3 linked regions of the Alligator mississippiensis genome follow. The protein of the gene in region 1 purifies or fractionates together with the protein of each later gene. This does not show direct contact. Links are inferred from orthologs where the notes say so. Each region holds a gene or a part of one and is shown in the gene's direction. Other genes may lie near its edges.

The links.
Region 2: the proteins of PEX5 (region 1) and PECR purify together in Homo sapiens (affinity purification with mass spectrometry; 3 studies listed by BioGRID, with this or other methods). This does not show direct contact. The link is inferred for Alligator mississippiensis from reciprocal best matches to the Homo sapiens genes PEX5 and PECR.
Region 3: the proteins of PEX5 (region 1) and ACOX1 purify together in Homo sapiens (affinity purification with mass spectrometry; 3 studies listed by BioGRID, with this or other methods). This does not show direct contact. The link is inferred for Alligator mississippiensis from reciprocal best matches to the Homo sapiens genes PEX5 and ACOX1.

The regions. Positions count from the first base shown.
Region 1 is NC_081824.1:244,302,021-244,310,058, forward strand, and holds the start of PEX5 (peroxisomal biogenesis factor 5), read left to right. Parts: upstream 1-4,998; 5' UTR 4,999-5,188; coding exon 5,189-5,335; intron 5,336-5,775; coding exon 5,776-5,811; intron 5,812-5,999; coding exon 6,000-6,132; intron 6,133-6,332; coding exon 6,333-6,467; intron 6,468-8,038.
Region 2 is NC_081827.1:252,180,040-252,187,467, reverse strand, and holds the start of PECR (peroxisomal trans-2-enoyl-CoA reductase), read left to right. Parts: upstream 1-4,344; 5' UTR 4,345-4,345; coding exon 4,346-4,478; intron 4,479-5,565; coding exon 5,566-5,699; intron 5,700-7,428. UniProt on the Homo sapiens protein: Participates in chain elongation of fatty acids. Catalyzes the reduction of trans-2-enoyl-CoAs of varying chain lengths from 6:1 to 16:1, having maximum activity with 10:1 CoA. Has no 2,4-dienoyl-CoA reductase activity.
Region 3 is NC_081831.1:13,344,138-13,351,292, reverse strand, and holds the start of ACOX1 (peroxisomal acyl-coenzyme A oxidase 1), read left to right. Parts: upstream 1-4,070; 5' UTR 4,071-4,074; coding exon 4,075-4,183; intron 4,184-4,491; coding exon 4,492-4,651; intron 4,652-7,155. Other genes in the region: CST complex subunit TEN1, read right to left, coding at 1-131, 277-386, 3,759-4,070. UniProt on the Homo sapiens protein: Involved in the initial and rate-limiting step of peroxisomal beta-oxidation of straight-chain saturated and unsaturated very-long-chain fatty acids.

The DNA.
Region 1 (8,038 bases):
GTTTAACATTTTTATCAATGACCTGGATGGGGGAATAGAAAGCTTCCTTATCAATGTCAGATGCCACAAAACAGGGAGGGTTAGCAAACTCCTGCGATGATAGGATTAGAATCTAAAAAAGCCTGATACAGGGGAGAATTGAGTGACAGACAAAAAAAAAAAAGAAAGAAAGAATTTCAAAAAAGGTGCTTCACTTAGGAAAGGAAAAAATGAAGATATACATACAAAACAGGAAGTAACTAGCTTGACAATAGGAAGGATCTGAGTGCTATGGTTGATTACAAGCTCACCATGACTTGGTAACAGGATGTGCCTTACCCAGATGCATTCCCAGGGGGCAGTTCTGGGTAAGCGGGGAAAGTGTGGGCTTCCCTGCTTACCCAGATCCATCCCCAGGGGCTCAAGGGACCTGTCCAGGTAAGTAGGGAAAGCCCCATTTTGCCTGCTCACTTTGACCTATCCCCTGGGCTCTTTGGGGGCAGGTCTGAGTAATTTGGGAAAGTGTGGTATCCTCTGATTCCCCAGAGATGCCAGGGGCAGGTCTGGGTAACCAGGTCTCCATGTGGGGCAGTGAGGATTACCTGGGTCCCATGCCTCCACACACAGACCTGCACAGGCTTTCCTGGTTTTCCTTGCTTATGGGGAGCACCCCTGGAGATCATGGGTGAGTGTCTGTAAGCAGGAACCCTGACTCTCCTTTTTATGGAGAAGTGGCCCCAAGATCTCCTGGATGCCTCTCTGTAAGTTGGGAAAGTCAGGCAGATGCTCTAGGGGTTTGAGAGGCCCTCAAGGTGCCTGCCAGAGATGGTTGGAGAGTGCAGGCAGCTCAGGCTGGCTACAGTTTCCCATCTCAGAGCTGCAGGAGAGACTGCGGGTGACTGCCTCCTGGGCAACTTCCAAAAAAGAGCCTAGCTGGGCATGTGCCTAAGCCACCTCAGGTACAGACAGGGGCATATTCAGGTGGGGGGCTGTATAATGGTGCGCTGGCACCCCTCTTTGATTCCTGCTCTGCACAAATGTTAAAACCAACTGCCTGAGAGAAGCTGTGGCATTTCTATTCAAGCAGCATTGAGAGAGTCAACTGACTTCATAGATCATTGTCACCTATTAACTCAGGTGAAACATGATGGATAGCGACATCTTGGGGTCATTGTTGAGGCACTCAAGGCAGCTAGGTTTTGTTTTCCAAATCTGAAGAAGACACGTATGATCTAGTTGAGGATGGTCCTGCTTTGAGCAGGAGGTTGGACTAGATGACCTCCTGAGGTCCCTTCCAGCCCCCAGTTTCTATGTACATTCTAATATAATAAAAGGTTTAGTCTGTCTGTCTGTCCATAACACTTTGGCCAACTGTGCATGCGCCCAGCTGGGCTGCGCAGGCCTAAGTTTGCACCACTGCCGGGGAAGTTTGGTGGCAGCGAACACGCCTTGGCCTCCCAACCAGTGGGGCTTCTCCCCTGCCTCCCTGCCTGAGGGCAAAGAGGGGTGGGGATCACTGTGGCAGCACCCCCCAGAGCAGCTGACAGGGAGGGGGAGTCAGTGGGCAAGGAGGGAGGGAGGTGAGCGGGGAGGCAGGTGGACATGGAGCGGCGGGGCATAGCCCCATAGTCTGTGTGTGCATGCATGTCTTTGAGTGCATGTGTCTGTCATGGGAGGAAGAGTATGTTTGTGTTTGTGCATCCATGTGCACAAAGTGAGTGAGCAGAGTGTGAATTGTGTGTGTGCATGTGTCTATGTTCATGGCAGGAGGGACAGTGTTTTTGTCTCCATTGTAGTATTGCAGTGACTATAATTGCTTTGATTGTTTATATTGTTATTTTTCTTTTTATATAATGAATAAATTTAACCATTGAGATGAAGTTAATCTTTGTTATGATTTACTCTTTATAATAATTTAATCGGTCATTATTAGTGTTCTGGAATTAACCATCTATTTTAAATTTTTTATTGCTTAGCATAAATATATTGGACATATTGGTCTCATGATTTGAGACATACTTGACCTATTGGTCTCATGACTTTAGAACTTAAATTTAGTATAAGGAAAACACTTGTGTAAGGGTTTGCAGTATGTCTGGCATACGTGAAAAGAGATAACGAAAGAATGAATGATGGATGTATGTGACAACGTGAAGGAAGACAGTCCTCTTTCAGCAGGTGAAAATAGCCTTCTGTGGTTTAACGGTTAAAGGCTGCAGTGACATCAAGTATTTGGTAATCCTTAACTGATGACTAGATCATGCTTCACCCTGATGGCTGAAGACTGCAAGCAACGACCCCCCTGAAGACTGCAGACCACAAAGCAAGAAGATCCTATCCTACCAATCCCAGTCTGCCAACAGGACAAGGAGGATGACCTTTGTGTCTGACTCAGGGGAATCCATAGGCTTGTATGAACACCTCTTACTATAAAGAATGAACACAAAGACAAGGCTTTGGGTCTTTTCCACCTGCAAGAAGGAGTTTTGGGCACGTCCAACAAGACCTGACTCCATCTCTTGTGGTCAGTCTGGCCGGCCACCAGACTGACCTGAGCAACTTTAGAACTTGGTAACACCTTAACCTTTGCAGGACTGTCTGACTATCTGTGTGTGTGCACTTGTCTCTTTTGTATGAATGAATGAGTATGCATGGGAATGAGTGAAGCAGACAACCTTACTGTTCTTTATTCTTTTCATGTTGCACGTTTTGTCTCATGTTCCAATAAATGTGGTGTTGTGCTTTATCCCCTGATAAGATTCCTGCTTGTTTTTAATTCACACTGTACGCCCTGTGTGCAAAATGGCATCTGTCTGCATATGTGTGTGTGTGTGCATGCATGTCTGTGTCTGCCTGTGTCTGTGTGTGCGCGTGCATGTCTGTGTTCATGGCAGGGAGAATGTGTGTGTCCATGTGCAGAGAGTGAAAGTAGAGTGTACACCCATGTGTGCGTGTATATGTTTGGCCATAGTGGGGGAGGGCGCGGTAAGGTAACAGGGAGAAGAGGTGGGCATGTACATCCCCCACCCCCAGCCTGGCAAAGTCCACTCAGCCAGCTCTGCCAGCAGCAGGAGGGGAAGGGGCCCCTTCCCCTCCTCCCTGTAGGCCAGTTCCCATGGGGGGGAGGGGGCCTCCAATTTTGTGTATGCCTAGGGCCCCAGTACACCTTAATGTGCTGGGGGGGGGCATGCAGGGCTGGACCCAGTGCGGGGGGGATGGCAGACCCAGAGCAGTGGTGGGGGTGGGTGGGCAGGAGCCGTGGCTAGATGTGGAGCTCCATCCCCGTCTACCTGCCCCCATCATTCTTGATGGACAATTTGCTAGTTAAAATATAAGGACTGCAGGGCTAATGACATGGGATCTTTGGACTCTTGTTTTTGCCCAGCTGGGTGTGTTTCTGTAAACTTTACATAGAACTTCTGTTGAGGAATTCCCATGTAGTGCGCAGGTTTGTCATTACCCTGAAATAGAATAGTTTTCTGAAAGCATACTGTTAGGTTTACAATAATTTGGATTTTTAAGAAATATTAGCTTTACAGCTGAATACAAGGCATGACCTGTGGCCTAGTAATGCAGCTGACCACAAGGCAGAATGATAGCTAGGCCTTTGCTTGTGTCAAGTAATCATTTTAACTGCAACAAGCATTTTCTGAGTTAAAAAGTGAATCTGTGTCTGTGTGCTAAAAAAAATCAGCTACAGCTAGAAGTAAGATAAGACAGAGAAACCATTGTTTGAGCTTACTGGTTGTGTCCTTGAGAACTATCTTCTACTGTGTAAGGTTTTGCTAACATAATGTTACTGTTACTTAACTTTTAGCTTTTAAAAAGTACTAGTTCAGCTTAATAGAAATATGCTGTTACAAAGATTTGTAGAGCACCGCCCCAAGTATTGCTTTTTGTTAACCATGTAGTCTTGCTTTGTTGTAAGAAGTATAAAAGATCGCCTCACCCTTGAGGGGGGGCCATTTTGCCTTTTGCTGGCTTTATGGTCTTTGCTCGAGCAATTAAACAGCTGTCTTTCTTTACCCGCGTTGTCTGTCAATCAAATTACAGCTAGACAACGGACCTTAGGGAGGTTTCTCCCACCACACCCACCACGGTAACTTGGAAAACAATTCAAGTGCGAAAGAGAGGGATGTTAGTTGATTTGTGTTTTATATATGTTCCTATACGCTCCTCACCACGTCTTCCAGTACTGTGTGAAATAACACGACAAACATTGATAACATATGGCTTGGTGTCTCCTCTTCCCAGGAGAGGGAATCTCTAATTATTTTTTAAGATTTGGTGTTTGGCTTTTTTCTTTTATTATTATATTCTCACTGTTTCAAGAGCAGGTTGGACAGAGACTTGGCTGGGAGGTTTTAGTCAGGGTTAATCCTGCCTTGAGCAGGGGGTTGGCTTAGATGAACTCCTGACGTCCCTTCCAACCCTCGCTGTCTTTGATTCCGTGTGTAAGGACTGCAGGATTAAGGGCGCAGGATCTTCGGGCTCTTGCCCAGCTGGGTGGCGTCATGGAGAAGCAGGGCTGGGAGGGAAGGCACCTCCAGGGTTCACCTAGGGCACTGGTTCTCACTTTTAAGCAGCAGGACCCATTTATAAACATCGATGTCTATTCTGCTCCCAGAAGCCCTCACTCCCGATCCCAGGGTGTGGGGTACGAAGCCCCAGGCACTCCCTCCCAGGCTAGACCTCTGCCAGCCTGCAAGCGAAAACCCTGGCTTCCCACTTAAGAGGACCCTTGAAGTTCTCGCGAGCGACCCGCGGGTTGAGAGGCTGCTGCAGTCCGCCGCCTGCCCGAGGTGGTGTTTGTGTGACTGTCCACGGAGCCTCCTGCTGCTCTCCGCAGTGCTGGCGCGGGAGGAGTCTCCCCACTCCTCCCCCCGGCCCCGGGGTTCCCCGCCGCCGCCGCCGCTCGCGAGACCGACGTCAGAGCGGCCCGAACGCCTGCGCCTAGGCCGGCGCGCGGGGCGCCTGGCCCTTTAAGGTGTGGCCCCGCCCCCCGCCGCCCCGGCCCTGCTGCGAGCCTGGCGGAGCCCGGCTGCCGTCGCGTCGGGAGGGGCCTGCCTCGAGCCGCCCGCGGGCTGTGCCGTGCCGTGCCGTGCCGTGCCGGGCCTGGCCGGGCCGGGGGGTGCGGGCTGCCTCTCACCGCCGTGCTCCCGCTCTCGTGTGTGCACAGGCGCAGGCGGCGCGGCGCCCCCCGGCCACGATGGCGATGCGGGAGCTGGTGGAGCCGGAGTGCGGGGGCTCCAACCCGCTCATGCAGCTGGCCGGGCATTTCACCCAGGACAAGGCCCTGCGGCAGGAGGGGCTGCCAGGCCCCGCTGCCTGGCCCCCCGCGCTTCCTGCCGACGCCGTGAGTGCCAAGGCAGTGTGGCGAGGCAGGGGCCGTCACCTGGCAGGGAGCACGGGTACAGGATGGAGGTGCTGCGACAGGGTGGCTGCTCCCACCCCGGGTGTAGGGCTGCAGGGTGCAGGTGGGTGGCCCTGGGCCCTCACCCTGCTGTCTGATGTGTTGGGCTGGTGGTGCAGGGGCATCTGTTCCCAACACCCTGGGGGTTCCTGGAAAGCAGGAGGTTGCCATCATGCCGGCTAGGACATCTCTCCGCAAGGGGTGTCCAAGGGAGGTGGGCTGTGCTGGAAGTGGCTTTGTTCGTCACACGGAGGGGACGTGCGTGCTGGGCTGGGTTGCAGGTGGGGTAGGCACTGGTTAGTCTGGTGGTGGTGGTGGGAGGAGGAGGGATGGCAGCAGAGGGCGATGCTTTGCAGTAATTGCTTGCTCCCTCATTTCTGTAGGTGTCCAAGCCTCTGGGAGTGGCATCTGAAGATGAGGTAAGTGTAGCCATGTGTCACTACCCAGTACCTTTCTTGCAGCCATGTTCTCTCTGTTCCCTTTCGTTCTGTCCTTCTTGTCCCCCACCTCCCACCCACATTCTCCCTTCCTTCTTCCTTCATCCAAGAGCCTTTGCTGTTTGTCCTCCCAACCCCATACGCATGTACTCTCTTTTTCTTTTTTGCAGCTGGTTACAGAATTCCTCCAGGAGCAAAGTGCTCCCTTGCTCTCCCGTGTCCCCCAGACCTTTAAGATGGATGATCTTCTGGCTGAGATGCAAGAGATTGAGCAGTCAAGTTTTCGCCAAGCCCCCCAGCGAGGTGAGGGAGACTAAGAAAGGGTCAGGCATATCAGGGCCTTTTCTGGGTCTGTAGTGGTATATCCTGATAGGAGCAGAAAGAGGATGTGGGCAGAAGGTGCCTGAGGATTAGGAAGCCAGGTCTTCTCCAATCACCAGCAGGGGATAGGACACACGGGTCTCATCACTTAACCTTCCCTCCTTCCTCTCTCTCTACCCTAGCTCCAGGTGTGGCAGCCCTGGCTCTGTCTGAGAACTGGGCCCAGGAATTCCTGGCCGCCTCAGATGCTACGGCTGATGGGTCCCCAGATTACAATGAGGCCGACTGGTCACAGGAGTTCATTGCAGAGGTGACAGGTGAGGGCACATTTTTGAGAAGCTGAGTTAAGGTGTTGGTCAATAACGTGCCTCTGCCCTGATCCCACAATGATGATGTCCTTTGAATGTGAGATGAGCCCACCCATAAGACACGACCAGTATTTGGAACAGGCTGCTTCTGCATCGGCACCTCACCTGTATGGGAAAGTTGTACTGGTGTAACCTAAAGCAGGAAATTGCACTTGTTTTGCTAATTTGGGTTAAATTCCTTTTTGGCCACTCTCTTATTCTGGTGCAAGTGTTTTATTTTGGTTTACTTCAACAGAAGCTGGTCAGTTGACAGACTGACTGCAATCCAGCTGTCAGGGGAGTTGCAGAATATTGGAAATCCAAGTTCAAATCCTTGACAAATGAATACTTAATTCTTGGGCTCAGAGTGGCAGAGCAGTTGGTATCTTGCTGTGGACTCAGAGGTGTGAGTTTGACCTTTGTTCTGGGCTCATGCTAAAGATGACCTCCCAATTCCCCAATTGAACCAGCTATTGGGGGATAACCATGTTGGCAGGAGCACTGCTGAGAGGGCTGAAGGGATTACTAGTGGATCACAAGCTCAGCCTGAATCAGCAATGCAGTCTTGTTAAAAAAGAAAAAAATAAGCAAATACAGTTTTGGGGTGGAATTCACAAAAGCAGTGTATGCAGGACCCCTCTGTGTGTTGCTAGATAGGCCTGAGCTGGGGTACTGTGCCCAGCTTCAAAGTAACATATTATGGGAAGGATGTAAAAAAATAAAAATCTGGAGAGGGTCCAGAGGTGAGCAGTAAAGATGGAAAAAAGCAATCTGTGCAAGGAAAAGTTGAAGGAAGTTGGTATGCCTAGTTTGAACACTGTTCTCCCTTGCCACAGAGGGCAGAGCATTTGACAATGGGCTTAAACTACAGCAAAGCAGATGCAGATCAAGTCTTGAGAAAACCTATAAGTTTTATAACTGTGGTCGGAGCAATAGAACAAGCTTGTCTAGAAAGGGCGTGTGATCTTTCACAGAAGATTTACAAGAAGTGGCTGGATAGGTATTTGTCTGGAATGGCTTTGGAACAGTGAATTCTGCATCTCCACAGGCTGGACTAGATGGTTCTCGAGATCCAGTCTAATCCTAGGCTTTGAGACTTTTCTCATAAGAAGGGTAGTAAAGCATTGGATCCTGTTACCCAGAAAGGCTATGGAATCTCCGTCCTTGGTGATTTGTCAGACAAAGCCTTGGCTGGTTCGAGGATAGTCTAGGATGGTCCTGCTTTGAGCACAGGGTTGGACTGGATGACCTCTGGAGGTCTCTTCCAACCCTCACTTTCTGTGATTCTAGGAACAGGCTTAAGCTTAAAGTGAAGTAAACTGCTCACATGCCAGAAGTGTGTTTGAGTTTATATCAGTTTAAATCGATTGGTTTTAAAATGATTTAAACTAATCCATTACAACTTTCCGGCATAGGAAGTGCCTAGCCCTACCTGTCTTTGAGTACACGTAGCTCTTCAATGCAACCTATTTAGTTGATGCAACTTGGTCCTGCCCTAAGACAAATATTGATTTGAATGTCTCAGCCAAATCTGTTTATCA
Region 2 (7,428 bases), on another chromosome or scaffold:
TGCTAAGGAGATTATATGGACTGCATGTACTCCTACAACTGTAGGGACAGATAATGCAGGTTTAGACCATTGTGGGAACCCCAGTGCTGATCAGCATAATTTCTAGAGTTGGAAGGGACCTGAACAGATCATCAAGTTGATGATGGGCAGGAACGAGTGCTGGCATCACAATACCCCAGCCAGATATCTATCCAACCTCCTCCTTGAAGAGCCCCAAGGTAAGGAGGAGCACCACCTCACTTGGGAGCCCATTCCAGAGCCTGGCAGCCCTCACCATAAAGTAATGTCTCCTGATATCAAGCCTGAACCTGCTCTCAATCAATTTGTGGCTGTTATTCCTTGTTATCCCAAGTGGTGCCTGGGGGAACAGAGCCTCAACTATTTTCCACTATCCCCCCTGGTGAGTTTTATAGATGGCCACCAGATCCCCTCTCAGCCTTCTCTTGTGGACGCTGAATAGATTCAGGCCCTTTAGTCTATCTTCATAGGACCTGCCCTGCTGCCCCCTGACCATACAAGTAGCCCTCCTCTGGACCCTCTCAAGGTAAGCCACATTCCTCCTGAAGTGCGGCACCCAGAACTGGATGCAATACTTCAACAGCAGCCTGACCAGTGCCGCATAGAGGGGAAGGATCACCTCCCTGGACCTGCTTGTGATACATCTGTGGATGCACGACAAGGTGCGGCTGGCCTTACTGACCACTTTCCACACATTGGCAGCTCGTGTCCATCCTGGAGACAACAATGACTCCAAGATCCCTTTCTGCCACCGTGTTGTTGAGAAGGGTGTTCCCCAGCCTATAGGTGTGTTGCTGGTTCCTTCTCCCCAGATGCAGCACCTTGCACTTGTCTGCACTGAACTCCATCCTATTCTCATCCGCTCACCTCTGCAACCTGTCTAGATCCAGTTGGATTCTGTCCCTCCCCTCCTCTAGTCCACGCTCTTGTGCAGACCTGGAGGGACCAACAATGGCTTTACGACTCCCACAAGAGGAAAGTCCCCTTCACGGAGCTGTGGGAAATGATTGGCAAGGCCCTTCTGTACCAAGGCATACGCAAGATGGAGTCCACACCAGCAGGTTGCTATTGCCATCTGGAAGTGGGCTACCCCAGACTGTTATAGTTTGGTGGCTAATCTGTTTATGTTGGTAAGTCAATGCTTAGTGCCATGGTACTGAAGGTTTGCAAGGAGGTTGTTATTGTCCTTTACTGCCAGTAGCAAATATTGCTGATGTCCTTGAAACAATAGCAAGCTTGATGGGACTGGGCTTTCTGAACTGTTTCAGCTATCAGCAATGCATTTCATAGTATGCCCATCTTTCTCAAAAGGGTACATGCATGCCTCAGCTGAGCTGCATGCCTTGCCTGAGGGTGGAGGGAGGTTCAAGAAAACCCATGTGGAACATGAATTGGGTGCATGATGCCACAGTATTCCAGACACGAGGCACTTTCACTTTATTCGTGTTATTGGTTGGGAATTATCGATGGGGCACTCTATGGTGACAGACTGAATTCATTGCTATACCTCTTGCCCTGTCCACTGGCCTATGTTTAAGATTAAATAAGAGACATGTGTGTGTAGATACTAGCTGGGACAGGAGCAATCCCTTGATAAGAGTCCAGGCCAATTCTTCTGTAAGCTCATACCAAGGCAGGCATGCTTTGCTTCTTTATTAAGTGTAAATCATATCTTTTTAAAATTTAAATTGGCTTATTTGAAAAACATTTCTACTACTAAATAAAAATACAGCTACCTATATTAATGTCCACATTTTTTAAAGTCAAGCAAGCATTTAAATGAAATAAAAACAGGATATGGACAACACGTTTGCTGCTCAGATTTTAAATCCACTCAACCAAACTACTGAACTAATAGAAGTCATTAGCTAAGCACCAGTGACAAGAATTTGATAAAAACAGCTGCTGAAAGCCACAGCCTCCTCTGCAGGTGCAGAAATAATATCTTCCTTTATTTCAATATATTCAACTAGTTTGATCTGATTCATTCAAAGCTGAGATGCAAAATGGGAACAAAAAAAGCAGGAAAGCTCGTCTTCCTCTGACAATCTATGAACGAACAAAAGGTATAGGTAAGAAAGTGAGCTCTCCTAGTTCTAACATCTTGAAGCAGTGACCCAGCCCCCCTTTAATTCATTAACTATTAATAATCATTTTGTATTAAAACACTTTGATAAATTATTTTTTTAATGCATCTAATGTAACAGCTTTAACTAAAAATAAAAAATGATGTTTTGTTTAAATGTTTTCCAACTATTCAGTTGGTCTAATAAAAGATATCACATCTACCCAAAGAACCGTGCCTGCCTATGTCCTGAGACTAACATGGCTACAACCAAAAACCCAGCAAAATGATGTTTTGTACATTTTAGTGAATTTCTAACTTCAATCCAAATGCACTTTGTGATTTCTATCAATCAAAACTTTAACACCCCCCCCAAAAAAAACCAAAAACAAATGATCATCCAATAAATAACTGGCCCTTTCTTCATTGCTTAAATAAAAAGTGTACAGATATAGGATATCCTACCAGTTAACAAAGAAGTTCCAAGTTGTCGTGTGGGCCTATATCCATTTGTATAGATCAATGTATTTTAATGCTTACCAACCAGTGAGAATCAGCTTTAAAAAGGTACAATAACTATAAAAAAAAAAAAATACAAAAGCAAAACAAAATTAGAACTGAGAACTTAAATTAACATTTCCTGCCCTTGACTTAAATCATGATTTTAAAACTGGTGATTTATAATCACTTTAATTCCACCTGAGGCAATTTAAGGCAGAAGTGGCCACCCCATGACACGGTCAGACTGGGGAGGGGACGGGCATCCAGGCAGCAGTCGTGCAAGAGGCAGAAAGCAGAGCAGAAGATTGGGCAAGAGAAGAGACTGGAGCGGAGCTGGGGGAGGATGCAGGGCTAACTTGCAGCATACTTGCCAAAAAGGTTGGTTTAAAACCTTGAATCATACGCAGCTCACGTTGGTCCCAGCCTGAAGTCGTCACCTTCGGTGGCAACAAGAACGGACAGCGGCAGTTTCTGGTTAGCGCTTAGCAGATAGGGATTTAAAGCAGACGCAGTAATCCCACCCCACAAGAAGTGCGACTCTTGCAGGACGGTCCCTGCGGGGCACGGTTAGTGCAGACACTGACAAAGCCCTGATTTCTTTCTCTTACTTCTTTAAATAGCACTTCCGATGCTGGATTGAGGAGCGCGTCACGTACCTGTCCAGAAAAATGACCGACTTGATTGAGATTTGAAGTCCATCCTGATAAAAATCGTAATCTGAAAGCGTGGCGTATCACACCGGAGAGGCAAGCCGTTCATTTCTGCGGCGAGGCTGCGGTCCCGGCTCGCTAACGCGGAGGAGCGTTTCTCGCTGGGACTCGTCCCATGTACAGGCAGTCCCTGACTTACAACATTTTGCACTGAGACGTTTACAAACCACGTTTCAACTGTCTGACATCAGTTTCGTCTTCACGACGCTCGCTCCGACGCCACGCCACGCCCGCGAGCGAGTTCTCCGCCTCGCTCGTCGCTCATCTGTCCCAACGTCCTCCGACGCTTTCTTTCAGAAAGCCCACGAACCCCAAAAAACCTCCAGCCAGGAGCCCTTCGCAAAGTCCGGCACGGGCACCTCAAAGAAGTCCTTCCGAATGGCTAGGATTGCTATTTACGATAGCAATACGTGCGTGTAGCTACGTGACGTATCCGTAGTGGATCGAGTGCAAAATTCTGGGGTATTTTTAGTGAAAACAGGGTGTCAGGCCTGGGTTCAGGAACCGATCCCCCATTTACAACATTGTTTCCTATGGGGAAAAGCGGCTCCGGGTTGCAATGTTTCGAGGCAAGGCTTGTTTTTCGGGCCTGCCTCGTCCGGGGAGAGTGTCTAGGGGGCGGCCGCAGAGTGAGCTTGGCCCGTTTTGAAGACGAGCGCACACGGGGGGGGGGGGGTGTAAAATGACCCGCATTAGAGACGGGGGAAAATGTCTTTTGTGCCCGGCGTGCGCCGCGCCCCGGCTCTGGGGGAGACACGGGTGGAGGAGGAGGAGGAGGAGGAGCCCGGCCCGGCTGTCAGGTGTGTCCTCACGCGCGGGCACACACGCCTGTGGGACACCGCTCGGCAGCCGTCGAGACCGCGCCGTGCACACGGGGACACCCCCAAACCCCACCCGGCCCGGCGATGCCCGTCCCTACCTGGCGGCGGCCCGGCCCGGCCCGGCCCGGGGCGGAGGCTGAGGTGAAGGGGGAGGGGGAGGCGGCCGCAGCGGGTGGCTGACGCGCGTGGAGGGGGCGGGGCGAGAGGCGAGGGGCGGGGCCTGCGCTAAGATGGCGGCGGCGGCGGGCGGCGCGGGGCGGGTGCGGGCGCTGGTGCCGGGGCTGCTCGGGCAGCGCGTGGCCATCGTTACGGGCGGCGGTACCGGCATCGGCAAGGCCATCGCCGCTGACCTGCGCCACCTCGGTCAGCGGCTCGGCCTGTGGGCGTGCTGCCTGCTTGCCTGGGAGTGGCACGGGGCGGGACCAATGGGGAGGCAGGTGTGGCGTCGGGGCGGGGCTTGTAGGGTTGCCTGGGAGTGGCAGAGGGTGAGACCAACAGGGGGACAGGGATGGGCTTGTCGAGGTGGTGCCTGGGAGTGGGAAGAGGGGGAGCGGGTGTGGCGTGGGGGCGGGGCCTGTGGGGTGTTGCCTGGCAGTGACGGGGTGGGGGAGTTAGGGGGCGGGGCCTGATAGCATGGGGTGGGGCAGGTCCCTCCCTGGTGGGTGCCCAAACCCCATGGGCTGCTGCAGCTGAGAGCCCTGACCCCGCGCTGGGCCTGGGCCTGTGCCCGTGTAGCACCAGCGCGCGCACACCCAGCCCCATGGCAGGATTCGGGAAAATCAGGAATCAAGAAAAACTCTCTCAGGAGGAGGGTGGTGAAGCACTGGGACAGGTTACCCAGAGAGGTGGTGCAGTCTCCATCCTTGGAGGTGTTTAAGACCCGGCTCAACAAAGCCTTGTCTGGGATGATGTAGTTGGGGCTGGTCCTGCTTGGAGCAGGGGCTGGACTAGAAATGCACCCCCCCCCCCCCCGTCCCTTCAGCCCTCGTTGTCTGCGATTCTCCGAAGGAGAGAGTTGGCAAGGCACTTTTGTAACCTTGTTATAGCACAGATAGGTTCGTGCATCTCGTTCGCAGTGAATAATGCCCCACATAAAGCCGAAGTGAGCTGCGGCTGGTGTGAGCTGGGCTGCCGTGTTGGTATTGTGGGTGAATATCCAAGCACTGGGCAGGCCAGGAGGTGCGAGCTCCCTTCTCATCCTGTCCTTTCTCAAGCACCTTGGGATCCCGTGTTCAGCTTCCCTCTGCTGCTCCTTGTTTCTCGAACTTCCCAAATGAAAAGAAGGGTTGAGGGCTCGTAGGGGCCGGGACTGATCTCTGACGGCATGCCCGTCGTCTAGCAATGGTCAACGAGTGGCTGTCCTATAAAAGACCCATGTTACGAAATGCCTAATGCAGCAGCTCCATATGCGTAGCGTCTGTCTAAAGGGGTTTTGGGTTTGTTTCCACAGGTTGCAATGTAGTTATTGCCTCTCGCAAACTGGACAGATTAAAAGCTGCTGCCAAAGAGCTGACTGATCAAAACTGTTCCCCAAATCCAGCCCAAGTAACCCCCATGCAGTGCAACATCCGCAAAGAGGAGGAGGTAAAGTACAGTAAACTCGCCGTCCCGCTTCAAATGTCAAAGGCAGACTGGTGCTCGGTCCTCGGAGGGTCTTTTTAAGACGCACCTCCCTCTGAGGAAGGTCACCGCAGGTGGCTGCGTTGTTGCATTTCTGAAATAGACGGTTTCGATGCAGTGACCGAAGGCAGGTGGGGCTGAAACGGCCATTTCCCGGAGATTGTGTCACTGCAGGATAGGATTGCATCGGATGTCCCTGCCTGATGCCCATGGGTGGGTTCTGCTCAGTGCTCCAGAAGAGCGTGGGGGCATAAAGTCACGGGATAAAATTCTGGACCTCTCAATTTAACTCTGTGGGTCTGAAGCTTGGTATTTAAACCTCCAGCCTTGTTTACACCCTCTGTGAGGCTGGAGTAAAACTGGGCATTTTGAGGCTATTCTTGAACAGTGTTGTGGAGAACAAATTTTGTTCAGGCCAGGTGAGCCACAGACCTAGTTTAATCCACTCCAGATTGGGTATGGGAAGCCTAGCCTGCCTAGGAATGACGCTGGACATTTCTTTGGGGAGGATAAATCTTCTTTTCATTACCTAAAGGGAAGCTGTGGTGCTCTCTAGTATGGAGGGATGTTTAAAGGGAAGGTGGCAGAGAGTCGCTTCTTTTTACTTGACTCCCTTGGAGCAGGGAAATGTTTGCAGTTCATATGGTTTTCTTTGGCTCTCCCTAAATGTTTGCCAGTGATACTAAAGCTTCAAAGCATCCAGTTCATTGCAGTTTCTTTAGTATGATCCCTTTGACATGGGCAATTGCAGTCCAGTTAGTGGTTAGCTGATGGGTTGAAGTCTGCATCAGAGGCATATTGAGCTTCTGCAGCACCCTGGGTAGAGTGCTGAAGTCCTACCTGCTCCAGCTCTCTCTGCACGCAGGGTGCAACAAGGGGCACCAAAATCCTTCCCTGCCCCTACCAGAGTATTTGCCATGGCAGGCATAGCTACAGAAGCTGGGCAGTCCAGTAGCATATGGGGGAAACGTTGAGTGGAATAGCCCCCTTCCCCCTTCCCTCCCCTACACCCCCTCAGCATTTTTGCCATGGGAGGGGCAGTTCCTTGCCCAGTAGTATTTCGGGGCAGGGGGTGGGAGTAAACAGGGCACCAGAGGCAGCTCACTGTACATTGGCTGTGGCCCCTCCATGGCAGGGGCTCTCCATGGGCTGACGCTGGTGTTCTTTTTCACCCCTATGTCCTTTCCCCCAGATTTGTGACTAGATGAGGATCTGCACCTCCTGCAGCAAAAATGCCAGGAGAAGGGAGCCCTTTCCACTTAACCCCCTCCCCTCCATACCGTACTGGGCACAAGGCTGCACCTGTTATAGCGAAGGCTTGGAGCTGGGGGGTGGAGGAGGCATTCTGATGCCCCCTCCAAGTCGGCACCTGGGGCTGGTGCCTCGCTCGCCCCTCTAGTTATGCTACTGTTGCATTGCCAATTTCTGTGGGCCACAAAGTGATTGTGGATGCTATACAGTGTTGCAAAGCCTAATCTGAAGCTCTGAGGAAGGAAGGACAGATGACACTGCTCTCCGATTAGTATTCTCATCTTAATTTCTCAGCCCAGACTTCTGTTCTTTTTTCTCGAGCTTTTCCAGTTCTCAGTAGACTGCAGGGTCCTGTAATGTAGGATTTGGGACGCATTTTGGCTGTGGTCTTTGGTTCTTTGAGGACTCTGAATGATCTTCTTTGCTATTGCTGCCATAACTA
Region 3 (7,155 bases), on another chromosome or scaffold:
CCACATACAGGAACCCAAGCTGGGCTTGGAATGGTTCCACAAATTTGGTGCAAACACGGACCTGGTGCTGGACTGAGTTGTGCTGGGCTGTGAGGACGGCTTCAGACTGGGCCAGGTCATAGCAGTGCAACCTGAAAACAATTGATTTGCTAAACTCAGCTGCAGCAGCCCTCAGAAGTAAGCTGAGACACCCAGGATATGAAGGAAATGCTGAGGGGAGGAAGAAGTTATGGAAAGAAAGAGATGGCCTGGAAGGAGTCTGGGAATAGCACTCACCTGCCAAATGTTCTCAGTGTTTCCCCATCCCGGACAGGTCCAGAATTTATCTCCCAAGGGAAATAATATATGCCAGGATTGAGCAGCATCTTGCACAGCTGCTGCAAGTCCTATAAACACACAAAATTCAAGGCAGGTGTTCAAAGGTTCACAGGATTCCCTTTATTGACTCCCACACTTACCTAGAACTGTCCCCCTTATGCATACAACGAAGGTCCACCCTTGCCTTTCATATCATGTTTAATTCATTTTTGCTAAGTTCTAACTATAAATAAGTATCTTCAAAGTGCTGCACACTTCGTTGCATCCCCTCAGCAGCCGCACAATACAAGTATACTTATTCCAGGTCTACATGTGTCAAAGCTGAAGAAGATAGACTGAGGCTGCCAGAGGCCTCCAAGGAGTCACAAAAGCTAAGGCTAAAGAACTCATGAGCTTTTGGGTCCCACTGCTGTTATCAAGCCTCTAGATTGTGGCTTCTCTCAAAAGATCTTGAAGACCCACTGAAGTATGTAAATGCAACACTGACTACATGGCTCACTGGTGAATGCTCAGGTGGCACAGCATGAAGCTTACAATACGAGCCAAATTCTGAATATTTTCACTGGGTGTTTTTCAGGCCATGTTTGGGTCACAGGGAGTACTGCTGGCTGGCTTCCCCACTAAAAAGCCTTGTGTCAGATATAAAAGGCCATTGACAGTCTCTCTTCATCCAGATCTGTTGTTTCCAGGGCTGTCCCATTTCAGTGCTGCAGGAAGAGGGGCTTATCATTATTTGGATCACAACTTTCCAAGGGATAAGGAATGTATCCAGAGAAAAATAGGGTGTCAGAAGTAGTTTGCTTCAATATATATCTATGGCAGTCAGGCTCCATAACAATATTTAAGAACTCTACAAAGACTTGCAGAGATCTCTCTCCAAGAGGCCTATCCTAAATCAACACAAGGACTCAATGGGCCATAGAGCCCAGAGTCTATGGAGTAGTTATTCCTCAGCTCAAGCTCTGATTCAAATTGCTCTAAGAACAGATCAAAGCCATGAAGGCCAACAACAGATCAAAGCCCCATGGCTTCTAAGCTAGAGCTTATCTCTCTGTCCAAGATCCCCTTCTGCTGTTCCAGTGCCCATATGCACTTCCTGAGAGCAGGTGCCTCAGAGACCCAGGCCTGAGACAATGGGAAACAGAAGCCAACATCGTTGTGGGCTGGAGGAAGAGGAAGCTAAGATCTCGATGCCATCCCTGGAGAGCTTGAGGAAGGTAAGTGGAAATCCTGGCTCGGCAACCCAGGCTTGAAGGGGCACATAAAGGTCTCTGCTTCCCTCATATCCACTCAAGACCTTAATCAAGACAGAGACAGCAAAATACTTCAAACAGGCTGGAAGGCAAGGGCAGATCCAGCGGGGCGCAGTTGCACCCCACACCCTTTCACTCCTTCTCTACCTGAACTTTAAAACCAACTGTCTGGGAGGGTAAGTGGCACTTCTATTGAGGCTCATGGAGTCAACTGACTTCATGGCTCATTATCACCTCCCCGTTTCCTGGTAATCTCTCTCCATTCCCCAAATATTAATGACCCTTTTTTCTCTCATAAGTATTGGACCCTTTTTATGTTCCATAATTAACTATCTTTTCTTCTGCAGTTTTGCTGTCTGTTAGCCATTCCTGGTAACGTCTCTTCTATTTCACAGCCCTGCAGATGCCTTTTAGCTCCAGCTAAAAAACTTAACTTGAGTGTAGTAACTAACTCAGGTGTAGAAGTAATTGACAGCGAGGTATAGGGGTGGATCCACTGGTGCATGCCCCCTTTGATTCCTACTCCATCCAAAGTTTAAAACCAACTGCCTGGCCATGGCAGCAGCTTTTCTGTTCAGGCAGCAGAGAGAGCATCAATTGAATTCATATGCCATTAAAATCTACCTGATTCCTTCTAAACTCTTCATTCTACAGGTGTGAACCACCCTCTCTCCTTTTGAATGATTTTTAATGGTTCCGCTAATCAAGCTATCCTTTGTTCTGCAATCCTGCTGTCTGTTAGCTGTAGCCACTTCTAGTAACGCAGCTCCCACAGACTGCTTTCAACTCTAGTGGGAAACATTAACTCAGGTGTGGAAATAACTTTCAGTGAAGCACTGGATGCATTAAGATGCTCAAGAAGGCTTGATTTTGTTTTATGAATCTGAAAGAGAGGCACATATATAATGAAAGTCTTTGCTCTTGATGGTCCACCAATCAGGCTGGCCTTTCTTTTGTCGTTTTGGTGTCTCCTGGCCAGTCCTGATAACCTCTCTTCTGCTTCACAGCCCTACTGTCCATTTCTAGTTTCAACTAAAAGCTTTAACTCAGGTGGGATAACATTAACTTAGGCAAATATTCACTCAGGTGTGGAAATGACCAACAGCAACGTGTAGGCTGCCCTGTGAAAAAGCTGAGGGACGGTAGAGTGCGTTTCCGGCGCCCAAAAGAGAAACATATGTTAAACCATAACACCAACAGGGCTAAGAACACAGGTATCTCTGGACTACTTTGGCACAGCCAGTTGCGTTTTTTTAATCTAAGGCGTCATGGCTTATAAGGACAGGTTGAGGGAACTGGGCTTATTTAGTCTAGAGAAGACTGAGAGGGGACTTAATATCAATCTTCAACTACCTGAAGGTGGGATCAAAAGAGGATGGAGCTGGACTGCTCTCAGTGGGGACAGATAATAGAACAAGGAGCAATGGGCTCACGTTGCAGCAAGGGAAGTTTAGATTAGATGAGGAAGAATTAGGGGCATCTATACACGTATCTTTGTCTGCTCCAACACCGGGGAAATCCAGCGTGTCAAAGCAGATTCAATTAATCAAGTCTGCGGAGCATGCGAGCTGATGTGCCCAGCGCTGCATCGCATCTATTTGTACAAATGGTGAAATATGCATCATTGCTGAGAAAATGGCAGCAGCGTGGCTTTTGAACAAAAATACCTCCAATGTATTTTAACTCAAAAGAGTGCCACCGCTACTTCCTCAACACTGACGCGCATTTCACCATCTATACAAATGCATGCAATGCAGTGCCAGGTACTTTTGAAAGCACCCAGCACTGTGGCACATACAGGCCTTAGGAAGGTAGGGAAGCACTGGTAAGGGCAACCCCACAGGGCTGGTGGCATCTCCTTCCTTGGAGGCTTTTAAAACCCAGATGAACAAACCTTTAGCTGGGATGAGCTAGTTGGTGCTGGTCCCCCTTGGAGCAGGGGTTGGACTAGCTGTGACCACCTGCGGTCCCTTCCCACCCTCACTATGAACCAGTGACGTTGAGTTCGTTCCAGTGACGTCACATCCATCTTTACTTCACTCTGCAACATCGTAACGTAACGTAACGTAATGTACCCCAACCCCACCCCCGGTCAGTAAAGCTTTCAGCTTCTCTGAACCCATAGCAAGGAAATAGGTTCCCCCCTTGCACAGCTCTGGGGGAGGGATCTTTCCCCCGCGCCCTTACCTCCACTCCCGCCTCCCAGCGCGTCCAATCGCCGCCGCCTCCGGCTCCCACGTGACCGGGACCCAGAGCTCCGCCCCTCAGCAGCGGCCACATGGGGGCGGGTCTCGCCCAGCCAGAGCCTCCCCCTGATTGGTTCCTCCGTGCAGCGTCCCCGCCCCGCCCCCGGGGGGGAGGGGGCGGAGGAAGGAGGGACTCGAGCGTCACGTGACGGCGGCTCGGCGCAACGTGCGGGCTGAGGGGGCGGGGCCTGGCCGGCAGGTCGCTCCCGGCTCGGTCACTAGCTCGCACAGCCGCCGCCGCCGCCGCCGCCATCACGATGAACCCGGACCTGCGCAGGGAGCGTGAGGCGGCCGCCTTCCAGCCGGAGCTGCTCACCCACGTCCTGGATGGCGGCGCCGAGCGCACGAGCCGCCGCCGCGAGATCGGTGAGTGGGAGCCCCTGCCCGCCGGCCTGGAACTCCCCGAGCCCCCAGGCCCCTCCCACATGCCCTGGGACACCCCGCCCCCTCGGCCCCCCACCCACTGCTGAGGGGGCCCCGCCCCCTGCCCCCCACACTGCTGGGGGCCCCGCCCCCTGCCCCCCACACTGCTGGGGGCCCCGCCCCCTGCCCCCCCGCACTACTGGAGGGGACACTGGCCTGGGAGACCCCACGTCCCCCCATCCCCGGGGGCTGGGGCAGCCCCGAGTGCTGTAATGGGGTCCCCCTGCTTCTCTCCCCTCACCCCCCTGCAGAGGCGCTGGTCCTGAACGACCCCGAATTCCAGCACGAGGACCTGAACTTCTTGTCGCGCAGCCAGCGCTACGAGGTGGCCATCCGGAAGAGCGCCCTCATGGTGATGAAGCTGCGCGAGTACGGCATCGCCGACCCCGATGAGATCTACTGGTTCAAAAGGTACCTGGAACTGCGTCTGCCTGTCCTCAGGGTGGGCTGAGGCACAGGGGCGCTGAGCTGGTACTCGGCCAGGGCTTGGGGATGCTTTCCAGCAGGGAAACCCCTCACAGGGGCTGACCTACGGCCTGACTGGGGCTCAGAGCCCCCCTTTCCAGCAAAAAAAAAGGGCCCTATTGGGAGGCATGGGGTTGACCTGCTGCACAGCCAGGGCAGAGAAACACTTGCCATCAGGAAAAAGCCATAGGAAGGCACGTGGTTGACCTGAAATCCATCTGGGACTGTCTGGGCTACAGGTCAAGTGGAAGGCAGGGTAGTTTTGCATCTTATAGACTAACCAAAGTAGATATATAAAGCCCGAGTTTTCATGAGCTTCAGTTCCCTTCATCAGATGCAGGTCAAGTGTCAAAGCAAGCTGACCGCCTGCCCCAAAATCCACTGAAATCTTGTCTTCAGTGAACTTTGGTTCAGTTCCTCGTCTTGGGTAAAACCTGTTGTATGTCCTTGTGCTGATTATAGAGCTGTCAACAGGAACTATCCTCTTCAGAGCCAAGCCTTGTAAGAAGGCTGAAAACAATGTGGCGTATAGGCACTGCAGTTCCCCGTGAAGAAGTAAAGGTCCCGCACTTAAACAGGTTGATGACTAATGGGGCGATGCAGGGACTTTTAACACATCAGAGATATGGCAGGACCAGGCCTGCCAAGGAAACTATGAGCCTCCTTTCGTATGGGGGGGCCAATAGTGACGTGTTACTGGTTACTTGGGACAAATACTAACGAAAACAGGGACAGGAGTAGAAGGGGTAACGCAAGGACTCTGGCCTTAATGCACTTCTGTGAAGTTCCTTACTTCAGATCGAACTTAGGCCTATTAGAGTTCCCCTGTCCTCGTAACTGAGAGAGGGACTGTGACTAGTGGAATAGCTTTGGGGTTGTCTGTTCTTCTATTTCTCCCTTGTTAAATCTGCCCAATGGTGAGCAAACAGCACCTTTCACAATCAAGTTGGACAGCTTCCAGCTCGTCATAAATGCAGTTCCTAGTGGAACTAAGCACCTTTGACCCATTTTCTCAATAAAGTTCCTTTACACAAAATGTTTGAGGCAGATTTCCATTAACTTCTTAACATAATGACTCTGCAGCTCTAGAAATCCACTGGCTTCAGAGGGGGCTGGACCAGATATTTGGGTCAAATTCATTAACTACAGGCATGCGTAGATGAAACGGGGGCCCTAAATTGAAGTGTAGGGCTGATTAAACCCCTGTGTCGTGCATACACCCCGCTGACTTACCTGCCTTTCCAGCAGGGAAGGGAGGGTGAGCTGGTGGGGGGCAGAGCAGTCCCTGGGCTGCAGGGGGGGCTGGTGCTTCCTGCTGTGGCCCCACCCCGCAGGTGGCACCCGCCTGCAGGCACCTGGCGGGGGTGGGGTGGCACTGCTGCCACAGAAGGAAGCACCAAGCCCTGTGCAGCTCAGGCAGGCTGGCAGGCTTGGAAGAGCGGGTGGATGCAGAGGAAAAAAAAGGATCAGAGGCTCTCCGCTTTTCTTGGGTTTCTTGCTTTCCAGAGCTGCTGCCAGGTGCCTGCAAGGCTTCCTGCAGAGCCCCTGAGCTGCATGGAGTCTGGTGCTTCGCTCTGTGGCTGTAGGGGCAGCAAACTAAAACTCCTCAAAGAAGTTTTAGTTTGCTGTGCCCCAAGTCATTTAAGGCGCATTATGCCGCCAGATTTCCTACAGTGGCTGGAATTAATGCACAATATGCTGCCAAGGCGTGCAGACACTGACACTGTTTAAGCGGTGCAAAAGCATTTAGCCCACTTTAAAGTGTGGTTTACACACACCTCTCGTTTCATCTACACACAGCCTACACAGCAGTAGTAGTTCCCAGGAGAAATTGGTGGACTCTAAATCTTTTTTAACATCAGTAGAAGTTCCGAGGAGAAATGCTTCAATTTAGATGCCACTTGGAAAATGACCTGGAATGTAGATCTGGCTTACAATTACATTGATCACAAATACAACCCTTGGCAAACTATAAGGCATTGTGCAGCCAATACCATTCATTTGCTTGTCCTAAAATGAAAATGTTTTTATAGTGTAGTCCAGTTTCAGCCATCCTAATGGAGAAATGGCAGCTAGTAGCTCTTGTGGCTTAGCTAACAAGTCTGCAGGATGTAAATACAGTCAACTTTGTTAATGGATATTGGATAAATCCACTAAAATACATAATATGAGCCTAGTTTTTTGCTTCTGGCTTAGATTCTCATACATATTGTCTACTTGCATTTTGGTTAAGTACGTAACTTGTGTAACATCTTTTAGACACTGTTTACTGCCTATTGCACTTGTACTTAGTACTCCATTTTTGTAACTCGTTAGCAGCTGTCAACTCCAAAACTATGGCCATAGTGCTAGCACTGCTATACAGCACTGACACAGTAGCTGCTAAGGAAGTGTGAACAGCTGTTTGATTAATTATTCTGTTCCCTTGTGAATGGCTAGTTAGTAATGAG